3 linked regions of the Schizosaccharomyces pombe genome follow. The gene in region 2 interacts genetically with the main gene of each other region. Each region holds a gene or a part of one and is shown on either strand. Other genes may lie near its edges.

The links. A genetic interaction does not mean that the proteins touch.
Region 1: of rox3 (region 2) and gma12, changing one suppresses a phenotype caused by changing the other (phenotypic suppression), as found in Schizosaccharomyces pombe (2 studies listed by BioGRID, with this or other methods).
Region 3: mutations in rox3 (region 2) and med7 together harm fitness more than expected from each alone (negative genetic interaction), as found in Schizosaccharomyces pombe (2 studies listed by BioGRID).

Annotation. Positions count from the first base shown.
Region 1 is NC_003421.2:315,309-319,522, forward strand, and holds gma12 (Golgi alpha-1,2-galactosyltransferase Gma12), read right to left. Parts: upstream 2,545-4,214; coding exon 1,417-2,544; 3' UTR 519-1,416; downstream 1-518. Other genes in the region: msf1 (phenylalanyl-tRNA synthetase), read right to left, coding at 1-345. UniProt on the Schizosaccharomyces pombe protein: Involved in the O- and N-linked oligosaccharide modification of proteins transported through the Golgi stack. This occurs in cis Golgi where the enzyme transfers galactose from UDP-galactose to a variety of mannose based acceptors.
Region 2 is NC_003421.2:1,733,738-1,737,343, reverse strand, and holds rox3 (mediator complex subunit Med19), read left to right. Parts: upstream 1-2,031; 5' UTR 2,032-2,160; coding exon 2,161-2,577; 3' UTR 2,578-3,084; downstream 3,085-3,606. Other genes in the region: dao1 (D-amino acid oxidase), read left to right, coding at 1-738; CIA machinery monothiol glutaredoxin Grx3, read left to right, coding at 1,417-1,917. UniProt on the Schizosaccharomyces pombe protein: Component of the Mediator complex, a coactivator involved in the regulated transcription of nearly all RNA polymerase II-dependent genes.
Region 3 is NC_003423.3:4,170,532-4,176,306, forward strand, and holds med7 (mediator complex subunit Med7), read left to right. Parts: upstream 1-1,828; 5' UTR 1,829-2,110; coding exon 2,111-2,356; exon of another isoform or gene 2,357-2,422; coding exon 2,423-3,307; 3' UTR 3,308-3,467; coding exon of another isoform or gene 3,468-4,916; 3' UTR 4,917-5,257; downstream 5,258-5,775. Other genes in the region: ubiquitin ligase Doa10, read left to right, coding at 1-954; adenylosuccinate lyase Ade8, read right to left, coding at 3,468-4,916; SPOM_SPBC14F5.10C (ubiquitin-protein ligase E3), read right to left, coding at 5,721-5,775.

The DNA.
Region 1 (4,214 bases), 1.4 Mb from region 2:
CGAGGTATGGGTTCGAAGACAAGTTTTATTGTTCATATAGTAAGTATCGGATTTGCTTCTACTTACATGTGTCTTGGGAAATCCTAAAGAATCAAAATTCGTCTCTACAGAAACAATAGGTGATTCTTTTTGAACATTATTCATTTCGAATTTTTGAAATTGCTGTTCGAGAAGTTGTCGTAGACTGCATATGGGATGACCTTCTTTTTGAAAAAGGTTTCGACCAATTTTTGAGTGAATATGCTCTGGGACATTGGACCAAGAATCTGTTTGGACTTTTCTTTTCCAATTGGGAAACCTTCTCGAAAATAGTTTCGATAAATGAGAGACTCGATGAGGGAACATTGATTTCTTAAATAACACACTTCACTTTTTGTAATCAAACAATGATAATTTAAATTAGAACAACGAAGCTAACTATTTTTAAAATTAATATATAATAATAATTTAATAGAATTCAATCAATCGGTCTTAATTGCGTCCCATTTGAAAGTAAAAAAATGATAGTACCCAAATATAGGGGTTGTGCCGTTCTTGGATACAATGAACAAAGGAGTAAAATTCGAATCGTTTAATTTTCAAGCAGTGGTTTATAGATTTGGTCAGTTTACAAATATTTCATTCATTGTTTTTGCATAAAAAAAATATATGCTTTAATTTCAAAAGCCATTATCACTCAAATGGATTTCATTACGACGAATTGCAAATTTTATTTCCATAAGACTCCTGACATAACTTTATTTAGAAAGATAGAGCATCATACTGTACATAAAGTTGCCAACTTCAAAAGAAGTGCAGAAAAATTATCAAGGACTTTCTTGTAATCGGTCATATTAGATCAAGTATTTAATAGCTTCACTGTCCTATAAGCCGTACAATCGTAATGTAGGCTACAAAAAACTCAACATTTCAAATAACATTTCAAATCATCCCGATTTTAAAGAAAGCAGCATTCTGCGTATGAAAATTCATTCAAACCCCTAACAAGTTTGTCATCTACTAACATTTTACTCCAAGAAAGGCTGGGGTTTAAAAATTAAATAAAACGGTTTGAAGCGTAACAGCAAAACTCGAACTTTGTACTTAAAGTACGATACAAAACTTGACTTTAGAAAAGGAAATAGATTAGACAACACTAAAATCCTCCAACACGAAATTAGAAGGTCCTGAACGTAATGATACTAAGCTCATGAAATCATGAAAAGGGAGAAACTATTAAGGTGTTCACTAAGGAGGGGAGGATAATTAAATGACTTGATTAGTAATGAAAGAAGGAGTTTGCTTATCCCCGATAATAAAAAATTGAGAAAACTACCAACATACTGGACAGACGTTGTTCTTGAGTAAAATGACAAATATCATGAAATTAAACCAGTCTAAAGTACAAGGTATTTTTCCATGCGTGACTGAAAAAAACTAGGATGATGGTTTCAAAAGATTTTGAATATGATCCTTTTCTTGAGCAGACATCCAATCGGATCCTTGTTTAGAAGATAAAATTTGAGCATACTTAAGGAACTTCTCGGGACAATTCTTAAAATAGTTACATCCAGCAAAATGGATACACAAGTCCCCGTCGTCATAGCCCCAAATATTATCATCAAAATCATATGCGTTTATAGCCTTAAGTGGGACAACACCTACATGTTTATACACCTGGGGATGGTAAAATACCATGTGAGAAAACGCTTGTTGCTCAGCATATCCCTGAATATGATCCAAATATAAGGGTTCAAACCACAAATCAACAATCCAGCGGCCAACTTCGCTATTACGAATAAAAAGACTGCCAGCGTTAATACCATTAAAATCTTGAGAGATGATGAAATGAACATCCTTAGCATCCTGATCCTTTGGAGTTCTAAATCCATCGGCGGGGATACCTGCACCACTCTTATATTCAGCCTCCCTAGTTAAAATGGTATTCAATCGGTCGTGCTTAAGCACATGGTCGACGACGTTAAGATCTTTGTTCATGACCAACGCGTCATGATCAAGCCACCAAATCCATTCAGCGTCAGGATATTTCTTCATCGTATCTTGAAGCATAGGGACCTTAACCCAGGGCATTAAATGACCTGTAACACGAGAAGCATAGGCATCGGCATCTAAGAATTCGAATTTGTAACCATGGCGTTCAGCATATTCACGACGATTTTTGATAATGGACTGAGCGAAAGGATGGAGAGGAGAGTTAGCATCATTTTGAAAGTTAGAGCCCATCAAAATGACGATTTTAGAGTTATCCGGATGAGGATCAGTGGTAGCTAAAGCATGAACTACAGAAGTGACAGTTGGAGTAGCAGTGAAAGTTTCGGTTAAAGTGGCAGTAACACTAACAACTTCACTAATGGTAACACGTAAAGTATCAGTTTGGGTACTGGTTACGGAGGAAACGACTGGGGTCCAAGTACTCGTGTGTTGGTCGATGATCTCCTTCATCTTCGTTTGAAGCTTGGTATCCATAGCTGAAGTCCACCAAGCTCCACCCAGGATTATGGTTGTAATTACAACAGCACTAATTAAATAAGGAGCGAACCGCATTGTCAAATAATCAAGAGTAAACTAATAATATAGAAGAGACAAAATAAAATAAAATGATAAAGGAACGGAGAATTTCCTTAGAAATGCAAAATTAAGCAGTGAACGAAAGATAAAATTAGAGAAAGGATGGTGATGAGTGATATATGAGAGCTTTTAAAAAGTAGAAACAGGAAGGGTAAAAGAACCGACAGTAGGAATATTAGACGAAAATCAAAGAAGATTCTGTGCAATAAAAGAGATTGTATCCAAGAGAATGTAGAAAACCTAGATACGTGTGGTGAATTAAAAAGAAAAAAAACCCCCCCAAGTGAAAATATTCTCTCAACTAAGAAATCTGTTACAATAAGTAATGGTAAGAAAATCCCTGTAGAGAACCTATATGAAAAGGTTCAATTTGTAAATAAATAGTAACCTAACGAACGAAGGCAAAATATAGCAAAGTTTAGAAAGAAAAAGAAGCGAAAGAAGGAAGTAAACACCAGTTTGAAGTATATAACTAGTCCAAACCAATGAAATGAATACTTTAATACTACTTGGCAATGTAGGTGTTAAAAATCACTTGAATCTAATTAAATCCACGATAAAGATTACAATTCAGTACTTGTCAACGCAAAACTAAAAAGAAAGCAAAAATCAAAAACTCAAGAAAAAGTATTGAAATTTAAAAATGCCTCTGGAAACCAAAAAAAAGTGAGATTACCAAAAGCGAAATGAACAAAGCCCGTATAAACGAATAAATTAGCTCAGTAAAAAATCCTTTAAAACCAGTTTTTCGTCAAGGTCTTACAATTAGAATGTTAACAAACACAAAACCAATTGCCTTAAGCAAAAAAAAATTGGTGGTAAGTTAAGGCCAGGTTTAAATCGGGGGGGAATGCTAATATGTTTCTGGAGTGATGGATTAATTGTCTCCTTGTTACCTGCCAAACGTGTTACCTGTTATTGAAAATAAAAAAAGGGAGCTTGCTAAACAATTGTATTTATAGAAGTCAGTGACTTGTGCATCGATGCAATCCCGAATTTCCAAAGAAAATTAGTTTCTACATTCTTTGGTAAAATTCTGCAGTAAATTCTTGACGCTTTGGTGCGGTGATGTTAGTGTAAACAAAGAAAAAGTCAAATGGCTGGTAAAGCCAATATTACAAAACAACATGGCAAGTGCTAGAAATAAAAGTAGTTTAAAGAGATATAATAGTATCATTCAGGTTTTAAAAGACATCGAAATAATTTTTTTTTAGTACTGCCGCTTAATGGGAAAAAATTCTATTCCAAACATGAAAGACAATAAAACTTCTAAAAAAGATGAAAAGAGCAATAAATAAAAATAAAACAATAATAAATCTAAGTAAAGCATAATTCGTATTTATTTAAATATTTTTGTTTCGATTGAAAATTACTGATCCAACTAATTTAACCCTAGAGAGCAAACTAGTAATGACTGAGCAAGATTCATTGCTTTGTTTCTATTACCATACTGTATATTATCGGCTTCTTTATATTATTAATTACCTTATAGCAAGTTCCTCCAATTATTTAGTCCCATCCCATACCATACCGATTGTTTAGGAATTTCCAATCGATCGTTTCGCTAACTTAACTGCATGTAACTTCATTCAAATTCAAAGCCAACAAACCTTTTTCGATGTTTAATGGAACATAGGATCTTTTAC
Region 2 (3,606 bases):
GAGCCGAAACACGACAAAATCAGATCCTGGAATACCTATGTCAGAGATTTCAAAGTTATCCCTGAAAAAGATCTTCCAGGAGAATGTATCTACGGACATAAGGCCACCACCTTTTTAATCAACGCTCCTCATTACTTGAATTATATGTACAAGCTGCTCATTGAAGCTGGCGTCGAATTTGAAAAGAAAGAATTGAGTCACATCAAAGAGACTGTCGAAGAAACTCCAGAAGCTTCAGTAGTATTTAATTGCACTGGTCTCTGGGCTTCCAAATTGGGTGGCGTTGAAGACCCGGACGTTTATCCGACTCGTGGACATGTTGTTTTGGTTAAGGCTCCTCATGTAACAGAAACTCGCATTTTGAATGGCAAGAACTCTGATACCTATATTATTCCTCGTCCCTTAAATGGTGGAGTCATTTGCGGCGGTTTCATGCAACCAGGAAACTGGGATCGTGAAATTCACCCTGAAGACACTTTGGATATCCTTAAGAGAACATCGGCTTTGATGCCAGAATTGTTCCACGGCAAGGGTCCGGAGGGTGCTGAAATTATTCAAGAATGTGTCGGATTCCGTCCTTCTCGAAAGGGTGGTGCCCGCGTAGAGCTTGATGTTGTTCCCGGCACCTCAGTCCCCCTTGTTCATGATTACGGTGCTTCTGGCACAGGATACCAAGCTGGTTATGGTATGGCTCTTGACTCTGTCATGTTGGCTCTTCCTAAAATCAAATTGGCTTAGGTTTATTTTTTTATCACGTTTCATATTTTTTAGAGCATTATCTCCCCTCTTTTTATTAGGATAATTGGTCGCTTCATTTGAGGTAGTTTTTATACCAAATTTCGAACCATGTTTTATAGACTTAACGGATTTGTTAAAACGCATTTCAATTCTACGATACACGTGTACAAGTAGTTCATTAGCTTTTGAGAGTTGCTAAATCATGAGGATGAAATAGCATTAGAATGTTGTACATTACCTTTACGTTTTTTGACGATTATTTAAAAAAATTTACATCTTTTGAGAATAATCTGAAAGACTAAAGTGCTTGGCATCCTTAATGCGAGCAAGTAAGGTTCCTTTCCTTCCGTGCCCTTGTTGTAGAAGCATTAAAATAGACTGAGCTTGATTCATATTAACGGTGGCATCTTTGTAGCTTAATTAGTAATTTTTGGGCCTTTAAAGAAGTTTTTCAATCCTCAATCGCAATATCCTAAATTCACCTATCCGCGACCAGCCTACCGTTTGCATACCACAGGTTTTGGGTAACTATCTAAACCAACTGTGAGGGAATTTAATTGTAATAGTTTATTCATTTTATATTATTTTATTTTGCTTTAATCACAATAATTTGATTAATCAGCTGCTTTTCGTCAGCTCATACAAATTACCAAGAGAAAGGAAAGCTTACATCCCATTATGGCTAATAGAAAGATTTTTCTTATTACATCTCTTATAATATCGTTATTGCTTATTCATATCTTCATATTCAGTCCACTGAATGAACCTGAGAAAAATGCAAAGGCAGGACCTTTAGGTCTTTCAGATGTCTCAGTGCCATCTGCTCCTAAATTACCTGCTAAGGATTCAACAGATTTTGAAGTATTTCTTGAAAACCCTGTTATCATTTTTAGTCGTCCTGGATGTCCTTATAGTGCTGCAGCTAAAAAACTTCTAACAGAAACCCTTAGATTGGATCCTCCAGCAGTGGTTGTAGAAGTCACCGACTACGAGCATACTCAAGAGTTAAGAGACTGGCTTTCTTCCATTAGCGATATATCTACAATGCCCAACATCTTCGTTGGTGGTCATAGCATCGGTGGATCTGATTCGGTCCGTGCTCTGTACCAAGAAGAAAAACTTCAGTCTACTTTGGATGAATGGACACATAATAAAGTTTTAATTTTACCTACCGACTAATTTTAATTTTTCAATATATGTTTTGATGCAATTTATTAATTACAATTTATGTTAAATCGATTACCCTTGGAAGTAACTCAATAATTATACTAGCCAAGTATGCTATAGCTTCTTTAAACCACCAACCACTACTCCAAACTATCCAGCTAAGCAACTTAGAGAGTAAAGCATTCATTGCATATATATTTAAAAAATTTGAATGCAATAATATATTCTTATTGTTACATTGGTCAATTTATTTGCATGGCGCAAGCTCCTGAATACCACTATGTAGGTAGTGTAGACTACCAACCGACGAGGCCTTCTGCCCATCAGAATTTAATAGAGCTTTATGGTCTTACGGAACTTGCTAAAAAGGTTGGACGTGTCGATGAATTTGGTAACAAGAGAAAGATGCGTCGTTCGTACAAGGCTTACATCCAAGACTTGCCAGGTTATAATGAAATTCTTCGTGATAATACTATAAAACAATGGCTTACAAACCCTATTCGAGAAGAAGTTCCTATTGACATTGAATTTTTACATCATGTGTTCTCTGTAGAGCCAGGCATTATTCCAGGTTTTAATCCTAAAGTGTTTGGCCTTGAAGACGACGTTGTAATGGGCAATGTTAGTCGTGATTCCTCTCAACCTCGTAGTCCAAGTCGTAGAAAGAAGTAATTGATGAGCCATCAATTGCTCATCAAATCCTAGAAAGCTGTGAAAGTTTGCTTTAAAACTGCAGGTCAAATCCTTAATGCTCTTGCCGAATTTTACTAAACTTGTTGCTTTTACTGAAACTTGTCGATTCTGCTTTCCATTACTCAATGATTGTACTCAGAAGAGCGATAAATATTTGAAGCTCTTTCTGCGGGTTCAGTTATCTGCTGTTTTCAGAGATTTTTCATCGTTTCAAAGCATGGAAACAATACCAAATGATTTAATTACTCTTTAATTTGCGGTCTAGAAAACTTATTTATTACATGGCGTTGTTTCGTTTTTAAAATTCATCTTTGTTTTCTCAGGTTTATTCCTAAGAAGTCGCTTTTAACTTCAATAGTTTAATCTCGGTGATTCTACTAGATTCTCAAGAGACAAATTACTTAAATTCTTTTTCTCATCTACTGTTTAATGTATTCTTAACGTTGTTAACTGAATCATATTAACTTATGTTCTATATGTTGCTAGTTGTTTTATTCATTTTAGTAATACATTTTCAAAGTTATTTTTCTTCATATACATTTCATCGTAAAGAGTATTTTCTAAATAATACCCAATTTTGAGAAGTGTAAAACAATTGTCGAAATAGTAAAAATATGAGTTGATCTACGCAGGACTGTTGCAAAGAACCGCAGCATAAAAAAATGGTATTGGATCATCCAAATTAAACAGATTGTTTCACTTACTGCCCATACATTACAGTCATCAATCGTAAATACCCGACTGGGCTTTAGAGACGTAATTTCAGTATTCATGATTGATGCAAAAAAAATAACTTGTCATACATTTCTATGTCAATTACCATTGCTTGAATTGCATAAAATACACCGTTCGAACCCCATATTTCTTAATTATACAGATTTACACGCTTACAACACGATTGAGGTAAAAAAATCGTACTTTATGAAACAATCGATAGATATAAACCAAAAACAAATTTAATTATTTGCTTTCCCATATCCACACATTCCCCTCTAACATTAGAATATA
Region 3 (5,775 bases), on a different chromosome or scaffold from region 2:
ATACCTGTGACAGAAAATGGTTATGAAATTTTTGGTGAAAAAAAGAAGGTCGAAGAAAATGCGGACTATACCATTACTTATGCACCTTCTAATTTTTATAAGCGTTTGATCGCTTTGTTGTTATTTTGTTGGATATGCTCAACACTTGTGACAGTATTGTTAGTGTTTGTTCCACTTTCATTAGGAAGAGCTATTTATGCTTGGTGCTTTCCTAATGTGGTAAAGCACGATTTTTATGCTTACGCCATTGGATTTTACTCTATTTCTTTTCCAATGTATGCAATTCACGCGTCTGTTAAGTTTCTGAAACTTGACTATTTACGAAGCCTTATGAATAAACTAAATTTAAAAATTGTTATGAGGAGCTTAGTAATGGCGTTAAAATATCTTTTATTAGCATTCCTTGGAATATTTATCTTACCACTCTTACTTGGAGCTATATGGGAATTATACGTCGCTATACCTTTCCGAACGATATTTAACAGAGGGACTCTTGCTCTCGATGCATTCCAAAACTGGGTGATTGGTCTTTTTATGCTTCGTATGATATATTTTACTGTGACTTCTAATGAAGAGCGTTTCGTTTCAAGGTTGTTTCAAGATGCTTTTCGTGATAGATGGACGAATCCTCAAATTCTTCCATTATTAAAAAATGTTCTCATCCCTTTTACATCAGCCTTAATAGCCGCCGTTGTGTTGCCAAGTGTTTTTACTTACGTAACCTATCCTTTTCTTTCATCCATTTTCCCTTCTGCATCTAAAACCCTTATGTATCGGTTGATGCATCCTATATTTTTAGCATTACTTGGGCTAGCACTCTTGGGGCGCCGTTTTGTAGAAACTAGTAGTAAATGGTCGCAAGGAATACGTGATGATTTATACTTAGTTGGTACGAGACTGCACAACTTTGGCGAATCTGCTCCTCCAGCCATTTCTGAGTCTGCCGAAAAATAAAAGTCTAGTCATCTACTATTTTTCAGATTATCCTTCTCTTTGGAAAACTGGAGCGAGGACATCTGAAGTAATATAGAGCATTGTGAATGTATATTATTTGAATGATGTTTTTGTTTTAATTGCTACGAAACTGTTAGTTTAGTTGCAGGAAATTACAAAAAGTCATCGTTTGAACAATTGGTTTGTTATTGTTATATTGCCAGGCATCTTATCCAATTTATCGTAACTGGTATTATCATGATATGGTGCTATTTATTTAATTTTCTTTACAAAATTGAACAAATATCAATTATCGTTGAATTTCTTTGATGTATCTGATGACTGTATCAAACCGTAGCAGCGAAAATTTGCAGACAATCACTAGCAATGGATAAATTAGTTAATTACTAAAAAGAAACAGTTATAACAAATATGTTTACTACGGTTATGTGACAAATTTATGAAAATGTAAAAGTTCGTAGTATTGCATGTGTTGATTTTGTAATCCATTCAATACTAACTAATCCTTCGTATAGAGGAATATCAAAATACTTTATCACTTAATCAATTTAAATTTTACGATTATGTTGGCCTAGTAAAATATTCATGTTAAGGATTTTATGGCATTCAACAATAGCGATAAGCTGTAATATTACAAGTAATAAACTCCTACTTAATTCGTTTCCAAGCCCATTTATTAAAAAGAATAATTCAGTGTTGTTAAAAGAAACACTGCAATTCTCTAAAAATTAAAAAAGCCAAGAAGTGTATAATTTTAAGCTACTTTAATCAGTGAAACTAATTTAAAACCAAGAATGATTAAAGATATCGAAATAAACAATTTATAGCAAAATTTATTGGTGATAGAAGCTTTCACTTCGTATTCCATATGCCAGATAAAACTACCCACTTTTACTGACTATTCCAAAATCCATTTTGAGCAAAAGATCGGTTATTTTCAAGTGTTTTTATATTCAGGATTTTCATGTCAATCAGTTATTGAGCGTCATATCGTTGTTCAATTACGGTTTTCTTAACATTATAGAAACTGCTTTTCTAAAAAAAAAAAGAAAAAAAAAGAGCAGGCATTTTTATACTAAGAATCAGCGATAAAAGGGAAGACAGTTACATCAATCTAAAATCTAGTTTACGATAAATACTATTTAACTAAAAGAGAATGGAACCAAACGAAGGAGTACAACTGTTTTCGGCTTTTCCGCCTCCACCTCCATATTATAAGTTATTTACAAGAGAAAACATAGAAAAAGTAATTTCAAATATGGAGAAAGAAGCAAAACATGAGGATGACGCGAATACTTTACAACCTAAGACTGAAGAAGAAATAGAGTCGCTGGCCAAGCTGTTTAAGAAGCCGTCATGTCTCACATCTGGGACTTATCAAATGTTTGGTGACACATGGAGGGTAAGTTTATTTTTATTGTTTTACATTAGCTGCTTTTCATCTCTCACTAACTTATATCGCTTATAGCTAGACGAAGCTATACCTTCACTCAAAGAATTTGGAATCCCTGAATTATATAAAGATATAAAAGATGGAGAAGATGAAATTGAAGTGGTAGAATATGATCCTAAATCCAATGCGATAGTTGGTACTAGTTTTACTCGTGTACACGATTATGATAAAAATTCACCAATTGAAAATGAAAAAATTCTGGAGGATGATCAACATACGGCCATGAAAGAAAAAGATAATGAATCTGATAAGACAATGAAAGATGTCGAGGAAAAGACTGAGCCCTCTCTTAAAAAGGAAGAGGAGGATATACAAATGAAGGAACCTTTAGATTCTCAAGATACTGGAGCTGTTTCAGCTTCTTCGGTAAACGAAGGTTTCCGGGCAGATCAAAAATCAAAGGATGGAGAAACGAGTGATTTGATAAAAATTCCCCGGCGAGCTTATGAACTACGATTTTTATCCCGCTCACTTATGCTTAACTTTCTTGAACTCCTAGGGATTATGGCGAAGGCACCCGAACAGTTTCCTTCTAAGGTTGAAAACATTAGGGTGTTGCTGCTCAATCTCCATCATTTAATTAATGACTATCGTCCACACCAATCTCGTGAATCTTTAATTATGCTTTTAGAAAAACAATTAAAACATGAAGAGTCGCAGGTTGAGCTATTACGTACTCATAACCGGCAAATGACCGAAACTTTGGAAAAGTACAAATCATTAGATTTTAATATGGAGAAGGAAGGAGATGTGATTCAACAATTAAAGTCGTCAATAAAAAAGCCATTGTCAGGCGCTGAAGATGAGCAAAAGTCTAGGTCTATGTTCTCAAAAAATGACGAGAAATTAAAAAAATCGCTTGAATTAATGGAAGACGTGATAAAACGAGATCTTAGCTAATAAACCGGTTTATCTAGTAGAGTTATTTTGCTATTTCCTCTGCTTTTAATATTTGTTTTACAAACAAAAATTCATACTAACGATGAAAAAAATGTATTCTTTCTATTTTAAACAAATCAAAAAAGTTCGTATCCACTACGAAGCAAACCAAAATTTATATTTAAACGGCAAGATCAACCTTTTCCTCAGTGATCATGCTCTTGAAAGGCGCAAGCGCTTGAGAGACGTCCTTATTTACAAAGGATTCAGTCTGCTCGGGAGCACGTCCAACAAAAGTGGATGCATCCAACAAAGAATCTAGCTCATCATAAATAGGAGCAAAATAAGGAGTATTCTTAATACGCTCAATTAAGTCGTTATCCCCTCCCTCTTCCTTGACTACTCGGCCAGCTTGATGAGACAAGACACGAATCTGCTCGTGACACTCATGACGACTAGCACCGTGCTTAGTCATAGCCATGATAATGTTTTCAGTGGCCATGAAGGGCAATTCAGCACGAATGTGTTTTTGAATAACCTTAGGATAAATGACCATACCAGAAATAACGTTCAATAGAATCTTAAGAACGCTATCTGTAAACAAGAAGGCTTCAGGTAACAGAGAACGACGGTTAGAGCTATCATCCAAAGTACGCTCAAACCATTGAACAGAAGCAGTATTAAGAGCATTAGGAATCAAGTTCATAATATAACGAGCTTGAGAACAAATACGTTCACAACGCATTGGATTACGCTTGTAAGCCATAGCAGAACTGCCAATTTGACCAGCCTCAAATGGCTCTTCTACTTCTTTCAAATTAGCAAGGAGACGGATATCAGTTGCAATCTTATGAGCAGTAGCACCGAAAGAAGCTAATGGTTGCAAAACGTCAATATCGATCTTACGATCATAGGTTTGGCCGGTTACAGGATAAACGTTATCAAAACCGGAAAGCTTGGCAACCAATTTATCCAATTCCTCAACCTTGGCATGATCGCCCTCAAAAAGGGCTAAGAAGGAAGCCTGAGTGCCGGTGGTACCCTTGACACCACGGAAACCAATGTCATTTCTAGCTCTTACAAAATTTCTCAAATCCCATAAAAGCTCTTGAATCCAAAGAGTGGCACGCTTACCAACGGTAGTTAATTGAGCTGGTTGATAATGTGTAAACCCAAGAGTAGGAATGTCTTTGTATCGCAAAGACCACTGGCTAAGACGATTGATAACGTTGACTAACTTAGGGATCAAAAGATCCATGGCGCTGCGTAAGAAAATCAAGTCAGCATTATCGGTTACAAAACAGCTAGTAGCACCCAAATGAATAATACCAGAAGCAGCAGGAGCAGCAAGACCATATGTATAGATGTGAGCCATAACATCGTGTCTCTGACGCTTCTCTTCCTTAGCAGCGATTTCAAATTCTGGAGCTGTAATTTTGACATGCGCTTTAAGTTGCTCAATAGCTTCATCAGTAATTTGAGTTAAACCGAGTTGCTTTTCAGCAATGGCGAGATTCAACCACAATTGTCTCCAAGTATTAATACGCATTTCTCTTGAAAAGAGATGAGACATTTCAGCAGAAGCATATCTTGCTGTCAATGGTGTACTATATGAACCATAATCCTCCATATTCGATAATCTTAAGCTCGCCAAAAAATTTCTACCTGTTGTGGTGAATGGACAGTGAGGAACCAACACTAAGTAGTGCTCTACAAATGCTCCACCTTGAGAAGACCATCAGATTTATTATTTTGTAATTTCCATATTAATTAGTTAACGCGCATGAAAAATCAAACGATAATTTATTGTGCCTCCATGCTTCATATGTAGTATTCACCTAACCCACCAAGCAAATCAATTGAAGATCAAGTATAGAGGAGTAAAGGTGCCTTTCCACATATGTTAGCAATATTACAAAAGGGGTTATAAATTTACTTTAACCAATGCCTAAGTAAGAAAAAGACAGAGACCACTTCGTCAATTGAAACTTGTATTCTTAAACTAGTGAATATGAAATGTGAACTAGTAAGAGCAGAAAATTAATTTCTCTATAATGCCAAAATCTACTTCATCAGCAGATAACGAAAACCAAAATTATTTTGGATTATACTATTAAAATATCTTCACAGTGAAAAAGTAATAAACAAAAAACCATCAAGAAAAATAAATATTAAAAGTTGCAAACATCAACTATTAAATAAAGTGTGAAACAAAAAGAGAATTCTTGCTGTATTGGCATGGGTGTTTTTAAATTGGTCAAAGAAATATTCATGACAATCAACCCCAGATATTCTCAGATGCCAAGAATTAAGTGCTCATTTGTATAGGGTAATTAGATGTATTTTGATCGTTTTCGAGATAACCTTTCAGTAAATCAAAGGCTATATTTTATGGCCCATACAAAGGGCGCGCGACTTCAACTACAATTAAAACTCAAGCAATGGTGCAAGCACTTCCAACACGATACCACCAACTTTCTTGAAGTTGA